Linked DNA regions of Nothobranchius furzeri. The protein of the gene in region 5 interacts with the protein of the main gene of each other region in a pairwise test. Links are inferred from orthologs where the notes say so. Each region holds a gene or a part of one and is shown on either strand. Other genes may lie near its edges. The genes, in order: klhl42, rnf11b, dazap2, plekhb2, stam2 and arrdc3a.

Evidence for each region.
Region 1: the proteins of stam2 (region 5) and klhl42 interact in binary tests that used the Homo sapiens proteins (3 or more experiments, as listed by UniProt). The two-hybrid records come from large-scale screens. The link is inferred for Nothobranchius furzeri from reciprocal best matches to the Homo sapiens genes STAM2 and KLHL42.
Region 2: the proteins of stam2 (region 5) and rnf11b interact in binary tests that used the Homo sapiens proteins (3 or more experiments, as listed by UniProt). The link is inferred for Nothobranchius furzeri from reciprocal best matches to the Homo sapiens genes STAM2 and RNF11.
Region 3: the proteins of stam2 (region 5) and dazap2 interact in binary tests that used the Homo sapiens proteins (3 or more experiments, as listed by UniProt). The two-hybrid records come from large-scale screens. The link is inferred for Nothobranchius furzeri from reciprocal best matches to the Homo sapiens genes STAM2 and DAZAP2.
Region 4: the proteins of stam2 (region 5) and plekhb2 interact in binary tests that used the Homo sapiens proteins (3 or more experiments, as listed by UniProt). The two-hybrid records come from large-scale screens. The link is inferred for Nothobranchius furzeri from reciprocal best matches to the Homo sapiens genes STAM2 and PLEKHB2.
Region 6: the proteins of stam2 (region 5) and arrdc3a interact in binary tests that used the Homo sapiens proteins (3 or more experiments, as listed by UniProt). The two-hybrid records come from large-scale screens. The link is inferred for Nothobranchius furzeri from reciprocal best matches to the Homo sapiens genes STAM2 and ARRDC3.

Annotation. Positions count from the first base shown.
Region 1 is NC_091741.1:34,811,659-34,816,622, forward strand, and holds the start of klhl42 (kelch-like protein 42), read right to left. Parts: upstream 3,051-4,964; 5' UTR 2,845-3,050; coding exon 2,084-2,844; intron 2,010-2,083; coding exon 1,816-2,009; intron 36-1,815; coding exon 1-35. UniProt on the Homo sapiens protein: Substrate-specific adapter of a BCR (BTB-CUL3-RBX1) E3 ubiquitin-protein ligase complex required for mitotic progression and cytokinesis. The BCR(KLHL42) E3 ubiquitin ligase complex mediates the ubiquitination and subsequent degradation of KATNA1.
Region 2 is NC_091748.1:56,842,016-56,846,856, forward strand, and holds the start of rnf11b (RING finger protein 11b), read right to left. Parts: upstream 3,177-4,841; 5' UTR 2,546-3,176; coding exon 2,423-2,545; intron 1-2,422. UniProt on the Homo sapiens protein: Essential component of a ubiquitin-editing protein complex, comprising also TNFAIP3, ITCH and TAX1BP1, that ensures the transient nature of inflammatory signaling pathways. Promotes the association of TNFAIP3 to RIPK1 after TNF stimulation.
Region 3 is NC_091755.1:37,293,882-37,298,797, forward strand, and holds the start of dazap2 (DAZ-associated protein 2), read right to left. Parts: upstream 2,948-4,916; 5' UTR 2,797-2,947; coding exon 2,784-2,796; intron 874-2,783; coding exon 755-873; intron 661-754; coding exon 412-660; intron 330-411; coding exon 201-329; 3' UTR 1-200. UniProt on the Homo sapiens protein: In unstressed cells, promotes SIAH1-mediated polyubiquitination and degradation of the serine/threonine-protein kinase HIPK2, probably by acting as a loading factor that potentiates complex formation between HIPK2 and ubiquitin ligase SIAH1.
Region 4 is NC_091748.1:41,161,057-41,165,688, forward strand, and holds the start of plekhb2 (pleckstrin homology domain-containing family B member 2), read right to left. Parts: upstream 3,341-4,632; 5' UTR 3,201-3,340; intron 2,668-3,200; 5' UTR 2,659-2,667; coding exon 2,622-2,658; intron 2,523-2,621; coding exon 2,370-2,522; intron 2,264-2,369; coding exon 2,161-2,263; intron 2,037-2,160; coding exon 1,997-2,036; intron 1,748-1,996; coding exon 1,667-1,747; intron 1,449-1,666; coding exon 1,334-1,448; intron 64-1,333; coding exon 1-63. Other genes in the region: ing5a (inhibitor of growth protein 5a), read left to right, coding at 3,917-3,953. UniProt on the Homo sapiens protein: Involved in retrograde transport of recycling endosomes.
Region 5 is NC_091754.1:32,011,194-32,016,029, reverse strand, and holds the start of stam2 (signal transducing adapter molecule 2), read right to left. Parts: upstream 3,294-4,836; 5' UTR 3,151-3,293; coding exon 3,111-3,150; intron 1,435-3,110; coding exon 1,350-1,434; intron 1,223-1,349; coding exon 1,147-1,222; intron 1-1,146. Other genes in the region: hacd2 (very-long-chain (3R)-3-hydroxyacyl-CoA dehydratase 2), read left to right, coding at 4,294-4,418.
Region 6 is NC_091757.1:41,570,717-41,575,428, forward strand, and holds the start of arrdc3a (arrestin domain-containing protein 3a), read right to left. Parts: upstream 3,344-4,712; 5' UTR 3,133-3,343; coding exon 2,853-3,132; intron 1,497-2,852; exon of another isoform or gene 1,469-1,496; coding exon of another isoform or gene 1,426-1,468; coding exon 1,344-1,425; intron 1,242-1,343; coding exon 1,094-1,241; intron 1,002-1,093; coding exon 899-1,001; intron 731-898; coding exon 474-730; intron 40-473; coding exon 1-39. UniProt on the Homo sapiens protein: Adapter protein that plays a role in regulating cell-surface expression of adrenergic receptors and probably also other G protein-coupled receptors.

The DNA.
Region 1 (4,964 bases), on a different chromosome or scaffold from region 5:
CGTGGGGCAGTAGCGCAGAACGTTGGTGTTCCTGTCTGTCCAACACAGAAAGATGCCACTTTTAGTACAAGATGACATTATCCTGCTTAAGGAGGCCACTGAAGAGGGTTTACTGTGAGATATTAAACTGTCACCACATAAATCCTTTAAAATCTAATAATCCCTATATCAAACACAGCCATCCGACATTAAAATTAAATTAATAACTATGAAAAATGACATTTTTAATTCTTGAACATCTTTACAGGCCATGAGAGCAAAACGGAAGTCATAATACTTAGTCCTGCAGAAGAAATAGCTCTGGTGCTGATATTGACGTTGACCCATTGACCCCCTATGAAAAGAAAATGGTCAGTAATTTGGGGATTAAAATGGACTCCTCACTTAATCTTGACACTCATGTAAATACAGCGGTGAGGTCCTGTTTCTTTAACCTGAAAAGACTATCCAGGATCAGGCCTCTGCTGTCCAGAGCTCATCTGGAGTCTGTGTTGCATGCCTTCGTCCTGTCCCGGCTGGACTACTGCAACGCTCTGTATTCTGGTCTGGCCCAGTGCACGGTTGCACGGCTCCAGTTTGTGCAGAACTCTGTGGCTAGGTTCCTGACAGGTACTAGATGTCGAGAGCACATTACCCCGGTGCTGACTGCTCTGCACTGGCTCCCAGTGCAATATCGAGCTAAGTTTAAAATCTTAACTCTCGTTTATAAGGCCCTCCAGGGCAGTGCCCCCTCATACATTGCTGCACTTTTGCAGAGGTATGCTCCATCTCGGTCTCTTGGCTCAGCCGAGCAGGAACTTCTGGTGGTCCCCCGGTCGAAATATCGATCGAGGGGTTGTCGTGCTTTTTCTGATCTGGCTCCAACTCTGTGGAACGAATTGCCACTGAGCATTAGGCAGGCACCATCCCTTCACGTCTTTAAGTCTCGTTTAAAGACTCATTTTTATCTGATTGCATTTTAGCGCTAGGGTTCTTTGAATTGCCCTGACATTATGGTTTTAATTCTTCTTCTTTTTAACCCAGATGCTTGATTTTATTTTGTCCACCATTTGTTTTTGATCGATTCGTCTTATTTCCGTTATCTCTCTTTATTTGTAATAGTGCTTGCTTGATATTTTATGATTTTATGATTTTATCTTGCTTTTATGCCCATGTACTGGGAATGTTTTTCTTATGATGATGCTGTTCAGCACCTTGGGCTTCCGATAACGTTGTGGAAGGTGCTCTACAAATAAAATTTGATTGATTGATCTTTTCAGGCCGAGTTCTGACAGATTAACGCTCCAAGAGCCGTCAAATATAAATATACCTGCAACCTATTTTAGGGTCATTACTGACAAAGACGTACAAAGTGATATTAATTCAGCCACAACCTCGTGTCAGCAGTAGCTCAGGAGGTTGTTCAGTAAACGGAAGGTTGCCAGTTTGATCCCAGCTCCCACTAGAGAATGCTGCTGTTGTGTCCTTGGGCAAGACACTTAACCTGCCTTGCTGCTGGTGGTGGTCGGAGGGGCCGGTGGCGCCTGTGTTTGGCAGGCCTCGCCTCTGTCAGCTCGCCCCGGGGCAGCTGTGGCTCCTCATCACCAGCGTGTGATTGTGTTGTAAAGTGCCTGGGGGGTTGGGGGGGGGGGGGGGGACCCCAGGAGGGCGCTCTACAACTACATGCCATTTGAAGTGTTTCTACTTTAATTGATTAGACTTACAAAATTACTTTGGATACTGCAGATGAGTGACATAATTTTCATACTTTCTTTCATTCATTCGCTGTTTCAGGAGTACGTGACAACATTCAGCAGGCGACACTAAGCTTCCCACCTCTGGCAGTGTATCCACCCATGACGTAGATCAAACCCCGGCACTCACAGGCCGAGAACTCAGCCAGCGGGTCAGGCATCGAAGACACACACGTCCACCAGTCCTGTTCTGGACTGTAACACTCCACAGTGCCGAGACACTGGCCTCCCACGGCAAACAGCTTCCCTTGCACTGCCAGCAGCTTGAAGTTGGACCTGGATGAGATGACACAGAGGGTGAATGAAACAGGGCAGAAACAACAGTCGGGGACTGTGGGAGGAAAATGTACCTCTTCTGATTGAGCGGAGCCACCTGGTTCCACTCGTTCCTGCAGGGGTTGTAGCAGTGCACAGCAGAGATCTCCTGACTGGTCGTCCTGTACCCCCCCACTATGAACAGGTAGTTGTCCAGGACAGCAGACCCATACCCTCTCACGTTAACCATGTCTGGGGGCAGGTTGTTGGCCAGTGGTTTCCAGCGCTGCTCCACCTCTCCATACCTCAGCATGGACCAGGGCTCGTCCTGATCAGGACCGTCCAGCGACAGACAGGTAAAGTCTCCGATGGCCACCAGGGTGGCGGTCCCTTTCATGCGCATCTCTTTGACCTGGTCCCTGACAGCGGAAAGCAGGCTACTGAACTCAGGCCGCCTCAGCATGGGGTGATAGTAGCAGCTCATGTACTTCAGACAGGCGGTTCGCAGGTCATGAGTACCGTAGACTTCAGAGAGGCTGTAGAGCTCCACGCAGTTGTCCAGCCGGATCTCTGAGGTCAGCAGCTTGAGGATGGAGGTGACTTGTAGAAAGGAGGCGGTCTCTATCAGATCTTCCAGGGTCTCATTGACCACCTGGACTTTGGAGGTGTTGATGAACTCCAGAACCAGCTCCAGGCCCGTAACGCTGAGCCCCTGGAGCTGCACAGAGTCCTCAGTAGACTCCCTCATCCCGGAGTTGTAAAGCGCTCGGAAATAATCGCTTTTCTCGATCAACTTATTTTTGTTCACCTCGTAGGTCCTGTCGTCCACCACGATGGCGATTTGGTCTGAGGACATGTTGGAGACAGCTTCCAGAAAGACTTTACAGTTCACCAGCGCAGGAGCTCCGTGGCCGGGCTATATATGGTCATGTTCAGCCCATAAATCCAAACGGAGCTGCTCCTCTCATCCAGAGAAGCTAATCAGCTAACAAGCTGCTGCACCGACAAACCCGCCAAAGCGGCTCTTTCCTCGGGTTAGCATTCCTCGACAGTTCGGTCGAAAAGTGGATCTAGTTTATAAATATGTCAACTACATGTTGCAGTTTATTTTAGACCTTGATAGCGGCTCTTTTAACAAGAATTTCACAAGACCCTTGTGGGAACGGACTGTCAAATTTCCAGTGTTTTGATTCTGCGCTTCTTCGTGTAAATACGGTTGAGTCGAGCTGCTCATCCGCCCTACTGCCACCTGCAGGTCAGTCCTAGAATGGCGTCTAATCGGATTCATTTTAAAAACTATTTTATTTCATTTCCTGGAAACAAGAATAAACAAACAAAAGAAACAAAATTCACCTATTGTGCACAAAATAAAATAAAATAAAATAATTATATATATATATATATATATAATTTTATTTTGTGCACAAAATATAAAAAATGTATACATAAAATTACTCAAGTAAACCTATAATATTTAAAATTAAGAAATAAAATAGCTTCAGCTGTTCCGAATTATTTTGAAAACGGACAGTCTGAAATGAGTGAAACCAGTAAAATAGTAAATGAATTTAACAGTTTTTTTTCTAATGTGGGACCTGACTTGGCAAAAAACATTCCAAAAAGAACTAATTATAGTACAGGTGCAGGCCCGGAGTGGCTAATCGGGAGGGTCTGGAGAATTCCCGGTGGGCCGCGCGATGTTTGGGCCGCATGGGGCCGGTGCTCTCGTTTTTGTTTTTTATCATTTTATTTTTATTTTTTGGTGCCGGTGTTCAGTCATGGCACTGAGGCCGCCGGGCTGATCACATACGCTCCTCCCGGCTGTCTCTGGCTGGCTCTACCTGCAGGCTGCAGCTCGTTTTTTTTCCCCAGTATGCGCCTGTGCGCACCACGTGACCACGCAGTTGACGGAAAGATGGAAAGTAGAAAGAGCAAGGGTGGCGCGGAGAAGGCAAGAATTAAAAAGAGGAAAGCGTTGGAAACAGATGCAGCCAAGGCCGGATTAACCATATGGGCAACTGGGCAATTGACCAGGGCCCACGAAGGGCCCAGGCCAGCAAGCGCACGAGCAAAATACTGTAGGCATGTCTGTAATCTCCCGCATTATATTAAACTAGGGTGACCGTATGTCCGGTTTTCCCCGGACATGTCCACTTTTCACTCTCTGTCCGGGCGTCCGGACTGCGGGTTCTTGTATTGATGAAAATGTCCGGCTTTTCATCCAGGAGCAGGGATCGAATTATGGGGGAGCTGTATATCTTACACATCCAGGGGAGCCGGAAACAAGTTTTCTATCTATATTACATCATTTATGGACTCTTCTGAGCAGAGAGCACAAAGAGCGGCACAGCGCGTTATTGCGCAGCGATCCAGGCAGCTGCGTCCAGCGCACGGTCCATTCTCAAAGTGGCGCAACCAAAAAACTATAATTAGCACACGATCGTTCATGTCCGCACATATTCTCTATTTTCTGTCTTATTTGTGCCTGAAGCGCTCTGCTGCTGCGCAGCTCATCACCTGTGCTGCGCGGTGCTGCGGTGATTTCACCTCACTGACGCAGCATCGAAAGGCGCACTCCGCTTTGCGGTCAGGAGATCCATTTGATCTGCTCAAAAGTAACTGATGAGGTGAAAAAGTAAGAATCCTGGCAGCAGTTTTTTCTGGAGAGTTTAGAGGAGACGCAGGAAGACGAGAGACAGACAGGACAGGAAATAGTTCAATAAAAACAAGAAAACAAAACTAAGTGTAAAGTAAAAGTAGGTAGATTTATCTCCACTACAAGTTTTTACCAGTATAAAACAATAAGTTATACACATGTCATAGTTATACATCTGATACAATTCAAATCACCTTCAAAACTCAGTCACACACCCAGGGCCGTTTCAAGACATTTTGGGGGCCAAGGCAAAATGACCCCCCCCCCCCACCCACCCCATAACTGGGCTCCCCAGAAGCCTCTGTGTAATTGTTACCCTC
Region 2 (4,841 bases), on a different chromosome or scaffold from region 5:
ATTAAGAACCTCTGATGCATTGTTCTGAGAGTCAAAAAGTGATAAAAGCTTATTATATGAAGTTCAGAAAATTTGCTGGTAAAAAAAAAATCTCCCAAATAAACGTGAAGTGGTCATTCCAGCGCTATGGCATGCTACATTTCTATTCAAAATAGCAAAATAAAAATGCCCCAGAGCAAGACCGTGAGAAAGATAAAAGATGATAAGAGAATGATCAATGTCAATCACTCTGTGAAATTCTGGCAGTAAACAATGGCAGTTTCTCAATATTCAAGTATGCTGGTATGTTCTTGTGTACTTGACAAGTATATTCTTGGCAAGCACACCTGAAAATCTGTTCTACTGAGTACGGGAGGATGAGGATGGCATTTGGAACAGAACCGTACTCCGTTGTGTCATGACAAAAACAACCGGACATAAAAATGGAAGTCTAGTTTCTCTCTAAAACACAAAATAACAATAAATACATTATATTTGTATAACACTTGGTCCACTTTTGATCAAAAACATAAAATACCTACTTTCCCAATTGTTAAATGAAGAAAAAAAGTTTCTTTTTCATCTAAACAGAGCTATTTTGGGCAACGCTACTTTTATTTTAATAGTTGGTCACCTAATTTGCATTTTAAGACATTATGAAGAGTCTGGAAAATAAAAAAATTCACACTGCGAGTTTTACAGGTTACACACAATTATTTACAATAACAGACAACTCTATATTTTTTTCTTTATTTGTATTTCTGATACACTACAGTTATAAGCTTTCTCCTCTGTTGTTTGTGTGTAATGGTTTGCAACGCAATGCATTAAGCAATACTTTGTTGTCCCAAGTCCGCAGAAGGAAGCTTTGATGCATCCTCGATACAATGGGCAGAGCAAGAACACATCCGGGAACTCTTGTGTACTTGCATACAGGAGTTCTTAGGATTGGAATTGTACTTGGGCCATCACTGATGACGTTTCACAAGGATGGGAGTACACAAGTTCAGACGAGTATGCAAAACAAGAAACGGCAGTGCAGTATAGCATATTTTGCTGTCTCAAGTCCGCAGAAAGATGCATTAATGTATCCTTGATACAATAGACGGAGGAAGAACACATCTGGGAACTTTGAGTAAACTTACCAAGATATGTATTTACTTACAACATAGGCTCATTCAAACATAACATAATAATGCTGTGAACATGTATAGATACTTTATCATACATTCTCACCAGCCTGTTACTCAAAATGCACCAAACTGATGCTTTTCACTATAAAATGTCCAATGTTTTCTACCGGGGGCATGCCCATGGACCCCCCTAGAGTAGTTTAATACTAGTCTAAGGATGACTTGCAATGATGACAAATCAAATCAGCATTTATTGTTCATAAAGGTCAAATGTATCAGTGATAGTGTACACAGTGAGAAGATGCAGTTTGCATATTATTTAATCAGTGTATCAGGATGCGCACACACACAAGATGGCTCACTTATTTGGATATCATTACATTTTTGTGATCCATTTATTATTATTCTCTATAGTTTAATGTAACATAAAAGTTTGTCCTTTTCTTTTAATAACTACTGCAAACCAATCCCTTAAATTAATAGAATTTGTTTATTTTGAATGAAAACAACAGGATTGTGTCACTTTTCTCCATGAAAGCATTTGTTGTTCTGACACTGCATTTATTCTCTTGAGCTTTAACAATTCCAATCTTAAAGCCTACAGATAAGACCTCACTTGACCTAGAAACAAGCATTCTAAACCAGTGTCCTAAAATAACACACACACACAATACTTTACAGCAAATCTAATATTTACAGTTACGACATGACCTGGTCTATGTTTGGATGATCTAATTTAGGGAGTAAGGACAACAGACAAGAACAAAGTTGCTGCCTGAAGGTGTTCAGTCAGAGAAGCAGGAGAGAAGTCAGCCTTTTCTTAAAATACACACACGCTACAGCCTGTTTCAAGACTGAGAATTAAAGCTTGTGTTGTCATTTTCAGCTCATAACAGATGTTTGCTTCTTTTTCCTTCACATCATCAACCCAAACCACAGGGTTTAGTGAGTTTGAATGAATTCACTCTCCAGGTGATATTTAAGACACCAGTGCTGCAGAAATTACAGTGAAGATATTATGCACAGAGAATGACCTTAAGATGTAAGAAAGAGGATTATTTACAGTATCATGAAAGGACTGAGTCAGTGGGTAGGGTTACTGTCTACGGACGATGTCAGATAATCTGTATACAGCTGATTCCGGTTCTCAAAATGTTCGTCCAACATTTATTTTCTGACTTTGTCATCAGGCAGACAATGCAAACAAATTGTAAAGAGGACCAAAATGTCTAAACAACACACAGTGTGTGAAGTTTAGTTTTAATGAATCAAACCACAACAGCTAGTTTAGTTATGATGTCAATAGATACCTGATAGGGGGGCGGTGGCTCCTGATCTGGGTCAGCACCGTCTCCATAGCTGGCTCGGTCCGACTGCGATTCGTGTAGCAGAGAAATATCATCCGAGGTCGGAGATTTTAAACAGTTTCCCATCTCCCTCCTCTTCTATCAAACTCTACCTTCTAACCGCGTCGCTCTACCAGCAGCGGATTTCACTGCTCACTTCCACAGAAAATGTCAGTAAATAAGAAGACGTCGAGAGGACGTTTTTCCATTCACAGCTGATGAAGCTCCTCTCCCAGACGACGGGAGGGCTGGCTACTTCAACAAAAACAAAACATCACTAAGACCAGCAGCTAGCCACACAAAAAGCTAGCCTGCTAACACTAGCTAGCACTCTGAGGGGAACATCTAAACGTCTGGGCGCAGAATCGCGGCTTTAACATAATTTTATATCAGCAGAAGGAAGAAAGCGAGCAAAATAACTGCTTTCTTCATTTAACGTGACACAGCTTTCCACGGTTCTCCAGCCTGAGTCCGATCTAGCTGCCAGGGACTTTCCAAAGCAGCTGCTGAACAATGACAAAAGCTGGGTGACGTACAACGTGGGGGACGGCTCCTTTAAACAACTGACCAATCAGCTTTCAGTTTCGTTCACGAAGTTCTTGTTGACAGCCAATCAGATGGTTGGTCACGTTGCCTTACATTGAAAACGTAAACACACAACGTTAATCTGCAAATGAGTCATGTTCCTACCAAAAGAACGATTTCTTTGCAGATCGGAATTGTCCTCTGAGTTTTATATGATAAAACCATTCATCAGTTGTGTTATTGAAGCTCTCGGTTTAATGAGATGTGTTCCATGGCGGCCTCTGGTCTGCAAAGCCATTTTTTCATTTGTTAAATTAGAATCCAAAACCAAATTAATGCAAACAACCTGTGTCATTTTTGTTCTGTGTGCTGAAAAATTATTGAACTTAAATGACGTGGAAAGGAAAGAATACAACACAAAAGTATATATTTCATTATAAATCACAACTAAAATGTAAATGGAAGTCATCCTGCTTGGTGGGTAACCATGCCCAATACACAATACAGAACGTGTAAACACAAAATTTTGAATGCTGAATTTCTTCCATTTATACAAGTGTAAAAGCTAAAAGGATGGGGAAAATTATGATTAGTTTGCAGAATCAACACATTCTAGAGTCGCTGCAGTTGCAACAATTCTAATAATACATTTCCTCCACCAATAAATATTAGACACTGACTTCAGACAATTAAACTGTACCCCAGACCTCTCTCAGTTATAAATAAATCAGCAGGACTTGTATCCCAACTCTTGAGGCACCATGTGAGTTCTCTGAACTGTCAGGTTTCAGGTGCTCAGCCTTTTCAATCACCCACTCGCCAATCGTTTATGAGGAAAGCTGTATTTGTTCATCTGCAGATAACTATTTGACACAGGATGTGGTTTTACATTCAAGTCCTTCTGTTGGTAGCTCTAGCAACAGGATAGCAGGTAGAGAAACAGCAAAAGAAGTCGACTGAAGTCTACACAAGCTGTGAAAACTTGATGGCTGCTGGGGGTTAAGAGTTTCTTCACCCACTAAAGATACAGCCGGCAGTCAAGCTCGCAGTCCTACGCCGCTTGCTGTGAATGGCCTGTTTGTTCAAGCTCAAGTATTGCTGGAGCCCGTCCCACACACCAGGAGGAGAAAAGGAGGGAGTCTGCCTTTTCTAAAAGACACATTCATCTGTCCTCTCAAAACAGGACAATTCATGTAAAAGATGCCATTTACAGTAAATAAATGTAAAGACCAACTCTCCCAGGCCGTTTGACATCCAAGAGTTGACAGTTTCATGGGCGATACACAAAGCTCGGTGCAAAAACCAAAACATAAGCTGTGAATACAGGGTTATATTCAGTAAGATGCTCCCTCGATTCTGACAAACACAACAATCATGTAGTGTAAACACATGATCCCACATTCTGAATTAAAACAGAACAAGCTGGTTTTGGAAAGTGAGACATTTCCAAAACCTACATTAACATTACAGTGGAACAGGTTTATACCCGGTACTTAAATAGTGCTGCTGTTCGTGTGTCATGTATCTGAGGCTTTATTTAACTCCACCAGGTTCAGGTCTAGTACCCAGCACTGAGCATATCACTTGGGACAAAGCACTGAATATGTCACAAAAATTTAACCTTGTTTCTGCTCAAATGCAACCAGTGTGAAAGAGACAAAAGGCATGCTGGAAGCAGTGTTTCATAAACACATGAACACACATTTCTCCACTCAATTTGTTAAAAAAAATATGTGTGAGAAAGTGACTAACTGTAATGTGTCTCTGGAAGAGGGCGTGGCAAAGTGAACAAGGCCAGCAAAGGCACACAAAGCTGCAGAGGTCCATAACAAGGGCACAACTGAGGAAAAAACACTCC
Region 3 (4,916 bases), on a different chromosome or scaffold from region 5:
GACGGTCATCTCTAGGTCAGAAGTGGAGTACTGTACCTTTCACAAAGGGCTCTAAAATATTACATTCCATTAGGTGATATCAGTATTGTGGCATGGCCAAGCAGCCTGAAGAGGAAGGCGTATGGAGTAAGGGAGGGTCTGGGGAATCATCTGGGACGGGGGTACGGTTTAGGCATAAACAAGGAGGGGAGTAGCTGCTGTTACCAGATGGTATAACCTCCACTGGATCCGCCCAGGAAGAAGTTGTTCTTGCGCTGTGTCATGACAACATTGGCACCCTGCATGGCAGCCAGCTGAGCTGCATTAGGGGGGTGTCCAGGGGGTGGGGGCTAGAGAAGAGGAGAAACGAGCTCAGTGGCAGGTTAAGAGTTACAAAGGCCTTGGCTACAGGTTAAGTCACTCCGTACTCACTGGGATGGAAACACTGCTGCCAGCTGTGAAACGAGCTCCAGCATCAAAGCCACCGTCCACCATCACTGTTGAACCAGGGGGGTAAACAGCTCCCATGTGATAGTAAGCCATGGGAACGTTCTGGCCCACCGGACCAACGGGCATGTGTGGCTGCATGGGCATGTACACCTGAGCACCAGGGTAGGGAGAGGACATCTGAGGCACCTGACCAGGCACCTGAGGTGGAAGCACGTATCTGGGCTGGTATATCTGCATACAAAGACACGAGAAACAGATTTAATTGAAGAATACTAAAAAAAAAAAAAAAGCTAATCTAGGCTTGACCTGTAGATGCAAGCGTTACCTCAGAATATGCAGGTGGTGTGTCTGAGTATGGAGGTGCCTGAGGAGACATTTGCATAGCAGGAGGGTATACAGGTGCAGAGCTCTGCTGAGGGTACACAGCCTGCTGTGGGTATGAGCCTGCAAAACAACATTTCACTTTTAAACACGCACAGCTGAAGAATTATGGGATGAGAACCGTTTCATTATTACTAGGGATGTAAGAAAATATCGATATGGCAATATATCGTGATATTTTTCGCAGCAATATTATATCGATATTCAAAAGCTGTGTATCAGAAATATCGATATGGCAATATATCGCGATATTTTTCCAGCAATATTATATCGATATTCAAAAGCCGCATATAGGAAATATCGATATGGCAATATATCGTGATATTTTTCCCTGTGATTATTACATTGATATTCAAAAGCCGTGTATCTAATTCTTGAAAGAATGCAAACATGCAAACATTTGTGTATTTTCTTTTCGTTTTGTGCAATTCAATCGCCACCCGCTAGTTGGCAGCAGTGTGCAACGGGTTTTGTTTCCACCATTGAACTGTAAATCCCTCCATCATGGTTCAGATACCTCATGTTAAACATGTTACATATCAGTTTTGACTGTTTATTGAACATGCTTATAATAAATTCAGTAAAAAATAGCTTGTAACGTCTGACTGAATGTATCGCAATATATCAGGATACATCGTATCGTCTCCCCTGTATCGTGATATGTATCGTATCGCCAGAATTACAAAAATACACATCCCTGATTATTACTAATGACTTTGACTACTAACATTAAGCTGCAAGTACTTCTTCTCAATCATCATCATCATCATAAATAAACTGATGCTGCTTCTGAGTGGAGATGGGAGGGAGCTGATTACATTTACAGCTAAATACATGAAATTATTACTGATGTGAACGCAACTACTGAGTGGTACACGTTACAGAAAATCCCAATGTCTTGTATACTGAAGCTAACGTTGGTCTTTTTCGGGTACAACTTTGAACGTTTCTACATTTTACAGACAAAAGAACAAAAACCAGATTTTGACACAAAGTGTCTTTAGGTCCAACATTTGGCGGCAGTAAAAGAAAGAACAATGTTTAAATATTGATGGAAACATGTTATTTAATATCATCAGGGGGGATTTATTTAAGCAACTGAAACTGTTGTGCATAATTATAACAAACTATGTGATGACTGTAGCAAGTCTGTCACTGCCAAGAGAGTTTCTAGTTTTGTTTTGAGTGCATTGTATGGCAAACAATACCAGGAAACTAGACATAATCACTTTTCTCAGCCCAGACAGTATAAGCAAAGGGTAAAAATGTATTACTTGTAAAAACACAAGTGAACGGATTAGAAATTAATAAAATGTAAATGGAAGATTTTATTATAAAGCCGAATCTGATTAACACAACGCACAAAAGCCTGGTGGTTAGTAAACAAATGTGAATTTTACATTTTCTTTGTCTTTCCAACATGACAAATCGACCATCGCGCATTACAGTTTGAATAAAATGTCTGCTTCTATTTTAGCTTTAGTGAAACAATTAATTCAGTAAGAAAAATATCATGAAATGTCATTAGCATTAGCCACGAACAAAGATGTCATGCTACAAAAAGACAATCTAAGCTCAAATAAGACAAACAAAAGAAGAAATAAACAACCTGGTGCATTTTTGCGCCGAACAGGTCTAAAAACATAAATGTAACCGGGATGTTCTTTGTTAACAAGAACTCCCCCCCTCCCCAACAAAAACAGGAAAGCCATGTCAGATTTGCTTTTATAATCACGTTAGCTTGCTGGAACACATCTGACCGGCCCGTTTTGGTCAAATAACAAAATGTGAAACTAAATTCGGACATCCGACGTTAGCAATATCCAAGACAGCTTGGTTCGGAGTGTGCGTCAGTTTATTGTTATGTACGTAGCTTCAGTTGGCCACAACGCGAGCTCCTCGTCTTTCCTTACAACGCCAACGTCAAGTAACGAGTAGCTAGCTGGAAAATGAAACACACGACGGAGAAATACCTTTGTTATTCATTGTTGTGGACTGATTCGGAGGCTGAGGAACATCAGATTAAACGGCGCTTTGTGTATCTTGTCTCGGCCTTATAATAGCTTACGGCTTGACACTTCCTTGTTTCTCAGCTTCTTGTTGTTGTGGAAGTGGTTACGTCACCCGTTCTTTATCTGCGGTCGGACGCACGCTCAGTTTCACCTGCACGCGCGCGCCCCCTTCTGGAGGAAATGAGATTTGTTTTTAAAGGAATATGAAAAGCACAAAAAACCCTAAATATTAGCTAAACGTAAAATGAAATTAATACTTAAGTGCGTACTACAATCAGTGTTGGGCAAGTTACTTCAATACTGTAATGCATTATCTATTACTTGTTACCCTCATTTTAAAGTAATTCATTACATTACAATATTACTGATTTTAAAATGTAAGGCATTAAACTACTTTTGAACTACTTTAAGTTACTTTCAACAATACAACTTCAATATGAATCTGGTAATCTGACGCTCAGTGAGCTCATGACATATATGTGGAAAGTGATGTGGTGTCTGAGCAAGCCCCCACAATGCAAGAGCAAGTCTATGGAAACCCATTGTCCATATATGTATGTCGATGTGTCTGAGCTAGCTAGGGTTGCTGTTAAAAACAGTCAGATATAATAACAGTGCTTTAAAATTATTGTTTATTAAATAAAAGCAACAACAATCTGTACTCTCAGCACGCTGCCATCTTATATTAACTGAGCATGGTGGGGGCTCCAAGCCTATATTTGCCTTGGTCCCCAAATGCCTTGATATGGCCCTGGATGTGGGACTGACTTCTGGGGTGATCTGATTCTATCACATGTATAAATATTAAATGCTTATATATTATTGCTTTTCACTGGTAAAAATGTGTATTGGGGATAAATCTACCTACTTTTTTCTTTTGAAGCACTTTGTTTTGTTTTCTTGATTTTATTTGAATAATTTCCTGCCCTTTTTCTCTCTAACCTTCCTGCATGCTGCATGTTTTCTCCGTCTTCCAGAAAAACTGTTCCCTAAATTTCTTACTTTCTAACTAATCAGCCAAAGGGATCTACCAAACCCACAAAAAAATAAAATAAACATTTTTTTAAAAAAAGCTTAATATTCGTTGCGCTCCAGCAGCAATAAGTTGAAATCACCGGGGCACAGATTATGAAGTCAGCTGAAAAGTACATGAAGTACCAGAGAATATGGACTGATATAAACGATCGCACACGAATTACTTTGTTTTGGTCAGAGGCGTGTCCAGGGAGTGGCCTGGGGTAGCACATGCCACCCTTGGAATCTGATTGGCCACCCCAGGTGCCATCACACTAATTTACCTTTAAATAGGCTTTTCATTGTCCACAAAAGGCTTGGGGGTAAAACAAAAAAAGCATAACCATTGGTGCCACCCATGCACAAAGTTGTCCCTCAACTGGGCCACCCCATTTTAAAAGATATGGACACGCCACTGGTTTTGGTGGAGCGATTTTGTGAATATAACAGCGGCCGCGCGCAGGACGCAGCTGGAGTATTTGAGCCATTACCGCTGCGTCCTCTCTGCTCATAGAACGCCCGCAAAGCTGAGTCCATAAATGACGTCATATATGTAGATACTGGATCTTTTTTCAGGCTTCCCGCAATTTGAACTGATTCTGGGTTTAAAAAAGCATTGTAATTACCGCGTTACTGACAATTGTACCGAGTAAATGTTTTTCTTTCCCTGTAATGCCTTACTTTAACACATTACAGCAAAAAGCAATGCATTACAGTAATTAATTACTTTTGTACCACGTTACTCCCAACACTGACTACAATATTACGATATAGTTTTTTAATACTTGTTACTGCATGTTCATTGTTTTCAGTAGATTTTGCCTACAGCCTCATGTGGGGGTGGATGATGGTCTGCTGCTGCGAAATGCTCACTCTCAGCTGGACGTGTGAGATTCACTGTATTTTTTTATATTTCCTGTGCTATCAGTGCAACGCAGACGTGTTTGCTGAGTGAGAAACTGCTCATGGGATCAGTTCATCAACATAACAAGTTGCTGATTATCTGACGAGTCTCAGTGTGTTTAACTGAGGAGAGCTCTGATGTGGTGATCTCTGCAGTGGATGTGGATCCTGTCTTCA
Region 4 (4,632 bases), on a different chromosome or scaffold from region 5:
CTCCGTTGTCACGGTGACGCTCCTGAATAATAACGTGGTTCACTCCAGGAGTACCATATCCACCTAGAAGACAACAAGTTCATGAAATACTTCCAGTTTTCCTACTTCAAAATCAGAGGTTTGCACCCCGTGGCTCTTCAGACCTTCCACAATAGATCTATTAATAACTTTAGCTAGAAAAGGTGAAAAACTAAACGTTAAATATAAATAAAAATTAAGCTGATTTAAGCAGTGGACTTGAATTCCCTCTTTATGACACTTAAAGTACAGAAAAGTACTATTAATTTTTCTTTTACACCATTTTCTGCAAATATCAACATCCCATAGGATAAAAATTATATCCATATATTTATTTTGGAAAACTTTCTTTCCCCCATTTTAAAACTCAATAACAGAAACAAAATGATGACTTTTCAAATATGACAACTAATACCTTTTCAGTGGCTTAGTGGTAGAGCGTCCGTCCTGGGACGGGGAGATCGGGGTTAAAACCAAAGTCTTTAAAAATGGGACCAAATGCCTCCCTGCTTGACATGCAGCTTTAAGCGGTTGGATTGGGGGGTTAAACCACCAGATAGTTCCTGAGCACAGCCACAACTGCAGCTCACCACTCCCCACGGGGATGGGTCAGAGGAAGAGGTAACATCACCAGTCTCTGATGATGATTAATAAAGTAGATATTTAAGTAAAAGGAAAAAAAGGTTTTAGACTTTTATCTCAGGAAAAAAGTGAGAATACTGATTTTAACCTCTGAATCCTGACTTCTCTTCGAATTATCACATTATTCCCAGAATTGGAAGAAAAAAAGATTTCAGTGGCCCTAATCCTAGATATTAATCAAAAATGATAAATGTTCTTGTTTTTCAAAAGGTCCTGCAACAAATACGACTCTAAACAAGTTTTATTCTGGTGAACTGAGGGGAAAAATAGCCATTTGTAAAAGTTGCTGACCCCTGTTTCAGTCACATGGGGCGACGGTGGCACAGGAGTTAAGAGCTCGCCCCGCAATCAGAAGGTTGCAGGTTCGAGCCCCGCTCAGTCTGTCGCTGTCGTTGTGTCCTTGGGCAAGACACTTAACCCACGTTGCCTGCTGGTGGTGGTCGGAGGGACCGGTGGCGCCAGTGCTCGGCAGCCTCGCCTCTGTCAGTGCGTCCCAGGGCAGCTGTGGCTACATTGTAGCTCATCCCCACCAGCGTGTGAATGTGTGTGTGAATGGGTGAATGACTGATTGTGTTGTAAAGCGCCTTGGGGGGTTCCAGGACTCTAGAAGGCGCTATATCAAATACAGGCCATTTTTACCATTTACATGCTTACAACATGTGCCGTTACTCACCTTGGTACTGGTACGGATATGCAACAGCATAGGCTTGGCCATCTGCAGAGTAAACCATCTGTGTAGGACGAGGAGGTGGAGCACTGTAGTCTCCATATGGGCCTGGAGCATAAACCTGGGAAAAAGAAAGAAATATATCGTTACACATTCACGAATACTTGTTAGAAATGCATTTGGGTACTCCATTAACTACACCAGCAGGTGGCAGCAAACTCCGTCTTTCAACTAATAGGTTTCCTGTTTTTTTTTTAAATAATTCTCTTTTCAAAATGATGAATTATGACATAATAGATATTTGTTGTATTTTCCCATCATATTTACAAACAGTTGTACCTGTGGGTGAGTATATTCGGAGTAGGGGGGAGGAGCAGATGCAATCACTTCTGCAAAACCAATCTGAGGAGTAGCAACCACCTACATGATCAACAAATTAAATGAGACTTCTACAAGCGACCAATAACAAAAAAAAAAGAGTTCAATTGCTTCTGAACAAATGAAAGCAGAGAATGATCGGCTCCCTGATGGAGACATTACAAAACACGTCTTCAGCTTAAAGCTTAATGTTTTAAACTTGTAGTAACTCAAATGCTTTTTAAAGTTTTAGCTCAGGAATTTAACCAAACAAAACAAATACAGAACCCCACAGATGCAGCAAAACCTCACCGTATTAATCCTGGCATCCTGCAGTGCCATGGTCCATGCACTGCAACAAAAAATGTTTGAGAATATAAATTATGTTTTTCTCAGAATGTAAACATATTTCATTTCTGTGCATCCACTTTTATCAGCAAAGAAGTTAAAATAAATAAATAAATAAATGTGCTTACAGGGCATCATCTGCACTGTCTGCACACAGGCTGATGACACGTCCATCTCTGCACACTATCTGGAACAATGCATCACGTATCTTTCCCTCTGGTGGGTTCAGTTCTGGGAGGAAGGACAAAAGTTGAGAAGGATTTTTTTTAAACAAAAAAAGTGTATAACATTCTGCAAGTGTGATTTTTACGCAAAAATGTGTGGAAAGAAAACAAACCCTGGCATGCTCCAGAGTTGCGGATGTTGATGCAGTGGACTCTCATGTGAATGTCATCCTCCATGTCGCGCCGTTGTTGATCATTGTAGAAGACGAGCCGGCCATCAGCCCACAAATCAAACCAGTTTCTTTTCCACCGGCGTAATATGGTACCTAAAAGTTAAATATAACACTTGTTTGACAAGATTTCTTGATGTAGACCTTTTTTTTCCACTGAGGGACAGTTGAATACACAGAAACACAATTACTCACTTTGTCTATGAAGCCAGCCACTCTTTACCATAGCCATCTGCAACCCCTAAACAACGTGAGTCAGTTAGAGCTGGAGATGATGACTGGGTGTGGTGCATCTAAAACAAACCTCATGACTGCTAACATAACTGACCAGTCTCCTTCAGAAGAAAACAGCCTCACGTGGAGGGCAAATTAAAGTCTTTTAGAAAGTGATCACTATTAGCAGACTTAGCTCAAATGAGTTTGATCTGCTAGCACAAGAAGTTACCGTGTGACTTTAATAGAGTTCCTGTTCAGTGTTTAAAGTTCAGATGTTGTGCCATTATGTTTATTTATAGTACTGCATTTAATACAAATCATTTAATTCTAATTTACATAAACTGTATGGGTCTCAATGGCAGGTGATGAAATGGGATGAAATAAGTACACATTGTTTAAATGAAATAAACAAATAGCATTTTTTGCTAGCTAGTTTCCAGATGTTAGGTGATAGCTAGTGAACTAGCATGGCTACTTATGAGTTTAAAATGTTCACAAAGTGAGAAAACAGTACAATTCTGTCAGACAACAAGCTTATTTTGTGGTTTACATACTTACTTTTATTCCACTGTTTGTCCCAAACGGTCTTTTTCGTGATAATTAAAACGCGGAAGTGATATGCAAAAGGTCGATGCCTTACTTCGAGATGAAAAGGCCTGACCGTTAGCAAAGTGACTACAGCGTTTAGACCGGAGGGCCGTTATGTTTCAGTCAATGTTAACTCCGCCCCACCGAGCATCTTCACAAGTGGCCCGTCTCTGGAGAGGGAGGTGTGTTGTTTTGAATGACGTAACCGCTCAGCTGACAGCTGTGGAAAGTGCTAGCAAAAAAGCAGCAAGGGTGCGCTTGGTTACAGCTCACACTCACTGTGCACACACACGTGAAATATTTGCCCTTCTCTTGGCAATGCAAATATGTGTGGTTTTATTTGTTTATTGACGGTGAAAGTGTTTTTTTAAACATCAAATAATTCACCTTTAAATAAAATCGAATTTAGAAAATGGTGAGAGGTGGGGGACAAATATTGGCACAAGAACTGAGTTTTAGAATTGTTAAGAGTGTAGAAAGATATAAGTGACCAAATACGAAATTAGGCTGTTTGCCTGGGAACAAAAATGTTTAATTTTGGTCTGGGGAAATAGAAAGGCGGGAGCCAACATTTTAGCCATCGCCCGGCGGCAAACTCAGGATAGTAAAACAAACGCAACAGCGCCCCGTGAAGCCGTGACCACAGAAGCAGCAGAGTAACGCAGCAGCTAAATACATAGCCAGAAATGGCGACGGCAATTTACTTGGAGCATTATTTGGACAGTAAGTATCTGATAATGCACCGAGATCGATAATAACTTGTCAAAAATGTTTTTGTGCTTTACGTTGATTTTTATCGAATAGTTTGCTCAAAAGTAGAGACAAGTAGTTGTTACATTAGCAAACTTTAGCTTTCCAGCTAACTCGCTGTCGCAGCGAGATAAGTAGATGGGTAAAGATGAAATAAACTGTCATTGATAAACACGGTAATAAACCTCCCGTGTTTCACTTATTACTAAAATATCAACTTATTTTTTTATTTACAACAGTAATACTTTATTGATAAAGAGCATATTGTTTATCTTTGACTTATTTGAAATCACTTTCTGTCAGTTTGTATGTTTGCAGCAACCTCTTCGATGTATGCGCATCGCTTTGAAAACCGCGTTTCCCGTAACTGTTTAGACTCCAGCCGAGGCGGGGTGTTTGACGTGCTTTTCAGCTTGTGTTACTATAAATCCTCACACATCTGCAGCTGATGTTGTTACACACTATTATTCTGCCACTGAAAGTTATTTTGCTATTGCGCAAAGTAATAATAATGTTGCATTGAATACATCTCCATAAGCTTTAATTGTGTAACCATAGTTGTTTGAACTCTGACTCCAGTTATAATCACGTTATTACCGAGAGTTTGTCACAAATGAAGGAAACTAGGAATCCCGTGTGTCATTAGATCAAT
Region 5 (4,836 bases):
CGTATCCCAACAGAGGAAGTGGAATATTCTGGCCACAGAGGGCGATAGGATCTGGGTGGCCTTTCATAAACCCTGCAAAGGGTCGTTTAAGCACATGCTGGCGCAAGAAAATGATTTAAAAGCATGACAAACTTGCAAAGTATCCCTTTGTCATCAGTTTATCTCCATTGTGGTTGCTAGGCGATAGGCTGAGGCGAGGGCAGGAATAAAAATGAAGGCTAGCTCACTGGATTTGGACTCACTCTCTTTGATCTAATGGGGCTCTCCACCAGATGCAAAACCTAACAGATGAGTTTTCACCACAACGTCAGCAGAGCGTCTCCTCCTACCAGGACTGTTTCAGACACGCGGTGGCTGCGAACGCGTTCCACGCAGCTAATCTCAAAAGATAATGAAAATCACAGGAGAACTGCAAGATCACATGTGATTTCACCAGATCACATGATAACAAGCTAGGACAAACAGCTACAACGTAGGGCTGGGCGATAGGGCTTAAAATCAATATCACGATATATTGAGGATTTCACCTCGATAATGATAAATGGACGATAACTACAGGTATGTGCAGAAACAAATGTTGTCCACTAGATGGCGCTGTCACATGTATTACATTAAATCACATTTTTACGTGACTTAAGGTGGTACAGCTTCTTAAAAGGCCATGAACGTTGCCAACCTACACACATCTTTTCATTTGTTTATTATCTAATTTACTGAAATGAGAAAAATGATCGATAAAAGTGACAAATTTCGATAAAGATACATTTTCAATTTATTGCACAGCCCTACTGCCACGTTTGACTTCCTGTCTGGACTGATCGGAGCTGCTGAGCATGTTCTGAAACCATAGCATGTAAGACAGATCCAGCAGCACGTAAATTTACCGGAGGCCTCGATGCTACACTACAACGTGTCTGAGGCGTACCGCTGCACGCCTGGGGGAAACACACCCACAGACTAGAACGGTGACCGTTAGCTGTGGACTTCGCTTGGAAGACATTACCCGTCGCTTATGCATCTGATGGAAACCTGGGGTGATAGACAAGCCAACTGCTAGTCTGAGCAGAAAATTTCACACAAATTATTTACTCACCTTAGTTTTCTATTTTCTTAACTTTAAAGCCTAAAAGGCAGAATGAAACTCACGTTGAGAGCCTGCATGGCGACATGAGGCACTTTGTGGTTGACTCGCTTCATTATGGATTTCAGGCCGTCCTTCGGGCTGAACCAGAGGAGATAAACCAGATTAACTCCAGGAAATGGGATTGTTAGCAAACCATATATGTGTGGCATTAGACTCCATTCACTAAATCACTCCAGGAATTATTCAGTGTCTTTGCCCAGCTCACCCATTGGCTGTCGTTCCAATCTTATCGCAGATGTCCATGATGAGCCCCCAGTCATCTGTTGTGTTGTTTTCATTTGTTGCTTTCTCTGGAAATGGTGCATATGGTCAAGTGAGAAAACATGCTCGCTGCCATCATGGCTGCTGGGTTTTGATGCCAGCCACAGCAGGCGAGTGCCACCGGGCTCTTTGGTCACACAATGAAGCACAACCACCTCCCAACAACCTCCCTCAGATGAACATTTGGCACAACAGTCATGACTCCTGAGTCCACAGAGCACCATTGTTTGGTCTAAGCATGCTGCTGCTGGGGTGGGAAAGGCCGGCAAACGAGGAAGTGATGAAGAGAATTTACATTCAGAACAATAAAGATGCATCTAGACTTGGCAGCAGTAATATCACAACTGCTTTGAATAATGTTAGCCACTTTGTGTTGATTTTTAATTCACCTGCACTGAACTGAATAATAATAGTTTCATATTTCACTTTTTACCACATTGTTGTCTGTTGTTTTAAGTCCGTTCATCTGCTGTGGCTTAATGACACAAACTGTTGAGCCACAATTCTGGAACTTTAATATTGTATTCTAAATTTCCTACATTATCATTAACATTTTAATTAAGTCTTAATATTTTATATTGATGATAAAAAAACTCATGTTGGTTTTAAATATTGGTATTATCTCCGTTTAATATTCATTTGAATAGCTCTAAAGCACCAAACTTTATGAAAAGAGCGTAATAAAATATTTCAAATTGATAATGGTTTAACTGGATTCAACCATCCCAGCAGAGCGCAGTTAAAACACAGGCTTAATAAGAAAATGTTTAAGTTGAGCTGAGAACTAATATTACTGTTATTAGTGAGACAAGTATCCCTGAACCACAAAAGCAAACACATGTGGAGAAAAATAAGAATAAACGTGATTCTGAGAATTGAGCCGAATTGCTCCTGAGGTAACAGGGAGTGGAAACAACACATCAGCGATATTTGTTTAATTTCCAGAGATCTACACCTCACTACAACCCCTGCTGGGTTTTTAATACACACTGTTGGGCAATTTGATAAATAAAACCAAAAATATCTAAAATAAAACATGATAAAGCCTTCACAGACCTGCATTTTTTCTGTTTGTTTGGTAAAAATGTACTCCCAATATTATTATTTTTAATGATAATAACAATACAATTTTGAAACAAAAGCATTTTGAGCCAGAAAGTAATCTTTAACATGCTTATGTCCCACTTACCATTTCAGATCATAAAGCACAACATTATATTATTAGAAACGTTTGTAAGAGAAAAATCCATAAACTAGTTTGTGTTGACAAACAACTTGAAATTAAATTAAATTTAATTTAAAATTTGAAATGTAAATTATGACAAATAAATCATCCACCTGTGTCTCAGTTATGAATCTTAATTTATTTAATTGGATTTACGAGTATTTTAAAGTGTACTCGGTTAAAACTAACACATTTAAAGGGCCCTTGCTATTTTTTTAGGAAAAGAGCTAGCTGTTATCATGAGTCAGACTTAAGTTGGTTACAAAACAACGCCCGAAATGACCCTCAGACTAGATAAAAGTTGTTGACAAGAAGTCAACAAAACGTTAAAAAGTGGACAAAACCTGTCAGGGTTGAACGTATTAAAACTGCCAAAGCTGAAATATCGTAACTTTAGAGCTCACTAAGCTACGTTAGCATTAGCTTCTCGTCAGCTGCTCTGAGTCCATGAAAAGACCAACAATAAAACAAGTCACTCACCAACATCTTGATCGAAGGGATTTTGGGAAAATAAAGGCATTTTAGCGACTCAAAAGAAACTAGGCTCCGACAAAGAAGAGTACGCGTGTTATCGAGACTAAACTTAAACAAGCGTTTATTCCTTGTTGTCCATTAAACTTGCACTAGTTGCTCTTCCGGTGTTGTGCCAAAAACGGCACCCCTGTCGTCATAGCTATTTCCCAAATGCCTGTTCGGTTGGGAGGAGAGCCGAGAAACACTAGTAGTAGTACATTGATTTAGTCTGGCTTGCCAGGCTAGAGAAACACTTCAGTAGTTTTGCTAGGAAATATATGAAATATATAAAGTATTTATATAATATAGAATAGAATAAAATAGACTTTATTGGTCCCACAGTGGGGAAATTCACTTCGTACAGCAGCTCCAACACTTATATAAAACTTACATTACTATATATATATATATATATATATATATATATATATATATATATATATATATATATATATATACATACATACATACATACATACATACATACATACATACATACATACATAAAACCTTCGTCCACTAAAAACTACGAATAAAAAAGGAAAAGCTTGTGTTCCAACACTACTATGCAGCAAATGTAAGCTATAAAAAGATACTTTTTAAAATAATTTTTGGATTGAGCCTTAAATCTGATTAAATCGTGGTTTTGTTACAAAGTTGTTTTATTCTTTATAAAAATACATTAAAATGAACCCGTTTTTTTTTCTTTATTTCTGATGTTTTATCAGGAGGCAGTGTAGTGTTGTGCCGTCTTATTTACATATTATAAATGTGTTCAACGTTATCTTTTAAAATACGTATTTATCTTGTCTCAGGAAGTTAAATGTCGTTTTGTTTTCTTTAAAACCAAGTCAATGCAAATGCAAAGTGAAATTGCCAGAAAATTGATGGAGATGGATTTGGAGATTTCTGTATAATAAAAATCATCACAGGAGGACGACAAACGCACAGCAGAAACGTGATTCAAGAGTTACAAGATAGTTCAGCCCCCAAACCCCTGCTTCATCGATGCCTGCTCTTATTTCAAACCGGAAGTTTAAGAAGTTTAGAACCATCTTGTTTTGTGACGACACTTCCTGGTGTAACTCCCGATTGTTTCCTGACTCAGCCTGACGTCCACCGTCGTTTAGGACCGTTAAGGGTTGGAGTCATGTCGGCAGCTGTTCCGGGGACCAGCAAGGCGGCCCACGGTGATGCGGGCTCGAAGAAGAAGAAGGGACCCAGTGCCCTGGCCACGGCCTACCTGGTTATTTACAATGTTGTGATGACAGCTGGGTATGTAATGTGTTTCCTCGTGCTAACGCTGCTGGTGAGCTGGACCGTGTGTGCATTTGCGCTGCATGCAGGTCAGGACCCGAAAATCCTAATAATAATAAAAAAATAAATAAACAATTTGATGCGATAATACATAAGTATTAAAATGCTTAAATATAATTGGAGACATTGTGGTGTTATAATTTCATCCTCGACTTCTTACGGCTTACACAGATTAACATGAGCAACAGACAGCCAGCTGGCATGGACGCCATGGTGTTTACAATCCAGAAACAACAGGAAATACAGCTGGTTATGTTGAGATTCAATTTTATTTTATTTCTTACTAATTGTGCTACTTTTTTCACCATCAGTCCAGTAAAGTTAAAGACGTGTGTGTGATCTGGCTTCTCACATGAAATTCGAACACAATTTTAAC
Region 6 (4,712 bases), on a different chromosome or scaffold from region 5:
CAGGGACAAGTTTATTGCCCCTGGTATGTCGACATATACCTGAGCACAAACACGAGGACATGACAGCAATTTAGATCTTGAAAATGGGAGTTTACAGAGCTGTGCATTCCAATCTGCAAACCAATATTTAGGTAAACTGGTCATGTGGGTCAGTGTGTTCAAATCAGTTATCTGTCTATGTGAAGGGTAAAGAGGTTATTAGTACCCTCAGGGCAGGTGTTGCCTCCATTATTCTGGGCTAATGCGCTTAGCAGCATGCGGACATAACACCTGGTACAATCCCAGGTCCAGATTTGGTTATGCAAGCCGAGTCAGCCAGGCACCTTTACCGGGATATTGGCTTACAAGGAAATATTGATTCTGATGAAAGCAGAAACCCTTGTATGCCCGTCGTCTCAAAACAAATACAAACAACAAAAACGGGCACCTGACCTAAATGTTCATCGAGTGTGTGAGAGAAAGACCAAACTCACCATGAGGGAGTACTCCACTCTGATGATGCTGCAGTCCAGGATTGAGGGGGACACAGGTGGGATCTTCAGCATTTTGCCATTCCAGGTCTCCGTTTTGCCAGAGGACAAGGACTCCCCCCGCAGGTTGGCCACCAGTTGCTTGACCTCCTTCACCTTTCCTTTGGCATAGAAGGTCTGTGTCTGGTAGATGGCCGCCTTTGGCACCACCACGCGGGACGAGCAGTTCTCGATCTCGGCAAATATCTGGATAGACTCGCCTACACAAATATAAGACATAATGGAAGTTAATATTTTTCTCTAGTGATAGGAACCCTAATTATGAGTAATCAGTAACAAGTAGAGAATCCTGCAGAATGTGATCATCCCATTGGCTCATCTGGTAAACAGATGAGTAACAACCTTATCGTTTATTCACTTATCCTCACCTGGGGTGTATCCCTTCCTTTCAATTTTGGCACTTAGGGAAATTGGACCTGAGGTGCAGAACCAACAGCAAAGCGTCTTGTCTGCTGTGCCGGCCTGAGGCGACTGAAAAAGTAGAGAAAAAACATCTTATAAACATTTTTTCTTAGTTTACAAACATAAAAGCTATGCATTTCATCATTCCTATGACTTCTTACCAGCAATAACGGAGTGTTGATGTCAATGTGCTCAAAGACTGTAAATTCCTTCTTAGTCTTCATGGGCAGGAGCCATGGCCTGTGGAGCTCTGCCTTCACCCAGTAGCGCACACTGCCATGTTTTCCTTCAAAAGAGGTAGCCAGAGGTCTGCAGGTGACGGTAAAAGAAGGGCAGAAAGGAGAAAAACGGTCAAGTTCTCAAATCTAAATAACTTTTTCTCTGATTCTAGTTTCGTATTGGGACACCTACGTCTGTGGAAGCTCGAGGCTGAATGCATACTCATGCCTTCCTGCATGGATTGTAGTGAGTCCTTCCTCCGAGTTGTCATCGTCTGAAAAACAAGGAGGACAATATTCCAAACACATGTATACCATACCTGGACAAAATGCTCTACGAAGGCATCTGTAAGTCATATCAAAGAACACAGGGTGGGGGAGACAAAAAGAGAATAAACGGGTTTTACAATTGATCTTGTCTGTTAGAAATTAAGTGTATTGAGATTTTAAAAAACAGCAGAGTAAAATTTGGAGAAATCAGAAACTGAACGTGAGTGATGCTAATGCACAAGTAATTTTATGGGGCAAAGCGAAGCGATGCCTTCTCACTTATTTTGGGGGGGGAATTATGAATTTTTTATTTAATATTGCTCATTTTACATGAAAAGGTAAATATGTGGCGGATAAGGACGTGTGCGCAGCCCTTGCCAGCTCAGCACACCCTCCCCCTAGCAGAAGCCGTGTGGTAAACAAGTGCGGAGCTGTCAGTCAAGAGACAGACTCCAGCAGGAGAAGACCGGACTAAACCGGTGTGAGCAGCTTCCCTCGGCATTACGTATTCACTCCGCGACGCCGCAGTCACAACAACCACATACATAAATGCGTCTGACAAGCTCTGTGGTCCCGTAAGACTAAAGGAGCTGCTACCCACTTATTTAAACACGTGTTCCCAACGCTAATAAATATTAAATCGTTCAGCGACAATATCACCACGTCTCGGACATGTTAGCTTAACATAATCCATGCTAACAGACCTAACCGAATACATGCAAATAAAAGCTTTACTGCATTCACTGGTATAAGAAAAAAAAAACTCTTGATTTTAATTAAAAATTAAGAGCAAAGAAATCTCAAATGTCCAGCACATCCTGGTTGCAACTCACAATTCCTTAAAATTTACAGTAAAACCACCAATTTTCGTGTCCTGCAGGTGTTTTACATTGATTAAAAAGTTGCAGTTTTTTCTGCCACTCTGCAGGGGAATGATGTCATTGGCCACACACTAGCATCTTAACCAATCACACACGAGCCAGGGTGCGCTCTGGCTTTCCCCCCGCCCCCTCGCAAACCAGTTTTCGGAACAGGATTGAACCGCTTTGAACAATAGGTGGAAACTTCATCGTTGTTTAGCGATGAAATTTCTAAACAAAGCTTCATAGCTATAAAATACAGAATCAACTCAATTCCAATATGTATTTAAATGAGATAAATCCTCCCTATGCGCCTCAAATGCCATGAAAAACACAAGATACGTGAGCAGCTGTCATTCATTCTGACCACAAAAACAAGCAACGATGGAGATTTTAAAAGACAACTAAATACCCACCGAACATCTCGTCTGAAATAAGGCAATAAAGTGACAGGTCTTTATTTAGTCTTTAATCGAACCAATTATCCTGTTATTGAGCCCTGCAACTCTATATCTTTCAGCGAACCTGATCCCCAACCAGGGGAGCATCACAATTTCTACAAAACTTCTTACCTCTTTCATGTCCAATTAAAATATCTTTGTAGTTCAGGTATTCCACTTCTTCTGTGTAGTTCTGGGTGTAGGCAGTGTTGGATCCAGCGTTTCTTGACTCAGTCCAACGAACTTTTGCTATTCCTTTTGCGTGGATTTTGAGAGATTTCACCCGGATTTCTCCGGTGACTTCGACGATCACCCTCCCTGAGACGGAGTCCCCGCTGGAGAAGACGGGGACGTTGCTGTCATTAAAACAGTCGTAGCTCACTATGAAGCTCTTTACCTTTCCTAGCACCATGGCGGAAAGAGATCTTCTCGAGCTCTAAAAAAAGGAGTTAATGAAAAAATAATCTCATAAGAAAAACGGGGTTGGAGACACTGATCAGTATCTCTGCCCTGCAAGAAGCAGCGGGCACGATCAGTGGCTTCTTTGTGAGCAGTTCATTGAGCTTTGTGAAGGCTGATAACCAGCAATGGATGCTGTTATCATCTGCCTGTCTCCTTGATGGTCTCAGTCACAGACAAGGAAACCCCCGGAGCTCAGCTCACTTTAAACCAGAAGCTGTGTGAAAAACAACCTTCTGCGCCTGCGCGTGGCTGCACAGCCCCCACCTTCTCGCCTTCTGGAACAAGGCAGGCAGAGCAGTGTGAGGCAAAGCTCACATTCATCCAGCCGCCCTGCAAGTATGGTAAAAGCACCTGAAACACCGCATAAAGAAATATTTGCAATAGTCCTGGGTGAGGCTTTTGGGGCGAATTGTAACATTAAAAATATCAATTATCAATATAATAATAAGATTTAGTCCAGTCTGTACATAGTCCACCTCAATATTTGAGTAAGTATTTTTTAAAATCACACAAAACGTGTGAATTTTGTTTTTATTTTGGAGCCACAGCCTGCAGGCTTATTGTGAACACTTTACACAACGCTTTTACATAATCAGAGCAATGTCATTGTAAAATCCAAAGAGCTGCATTTTGCATGATGCACACGGCATAGGGCTGTTCAGAGTAGATGTATAGAACATGCATATTAATTATAAAACTAAAAACAGATCATCTGTGGTTGTAACTCATATACCTGACCCATTTTGATTGTTATTTAACTGATTCTGATCCGTGTATGTTGAGAAGACTCTTTCTCATTGTGTTGAGCTCCCAGTTTTCAGAAAAACAACTCGTGACTCAAAACGCCACCTAGTGGCAACCAATGTTCCCACTATGGGCTGCAGCAGAATCACCTGTTGATCTGCAACAATACCAATGTTCTTTACTTTTAATCAGCCAGTATGGGGATGCTGCCCGAAAGGTAATCAGGCATTATTGTCCTGACGGGGATTTTTTATTTTATAATTTAGTATTAACAAATGCCATTTACCTCCAATTAAATCCAATAAACTTCATAGATTCCCTGACACACCATATGTAATGCCATTTAGTGCATTCATTAATGTTTTTTTCCCATATTACATAAAACACATCTGGAAAGCTGTTTACTTTATCTATACAAAGGACACATTGACATGCACCTTAAACGTTAGGATGTCAATAGATACAGGTGGGATGACTGCAGTGCCAGCTCAGCAAAATATTAAAAAAATAAATAAAAAAACAAACGTTTAATGCCTAGTTGCATGCTGCCCTCTAGTGTCCACTTTGCCGCTGAATTAAAAAGATGGGACACTCTTCTAGCAATGTTTATAATTTATTAATTCGTGGTACTATACTTTTATGCATGAATTGGTTAATGAACGATGGATTTTGTTTGAGTTTTATTTTATTTCAGTTCCTTCTAAATATCAGTTTCATTCTTTGTCCCCATGGACACGAAACAACCCCCCCACCCCCCCTTTTTTTATAGTATACTTTTATTTTGAA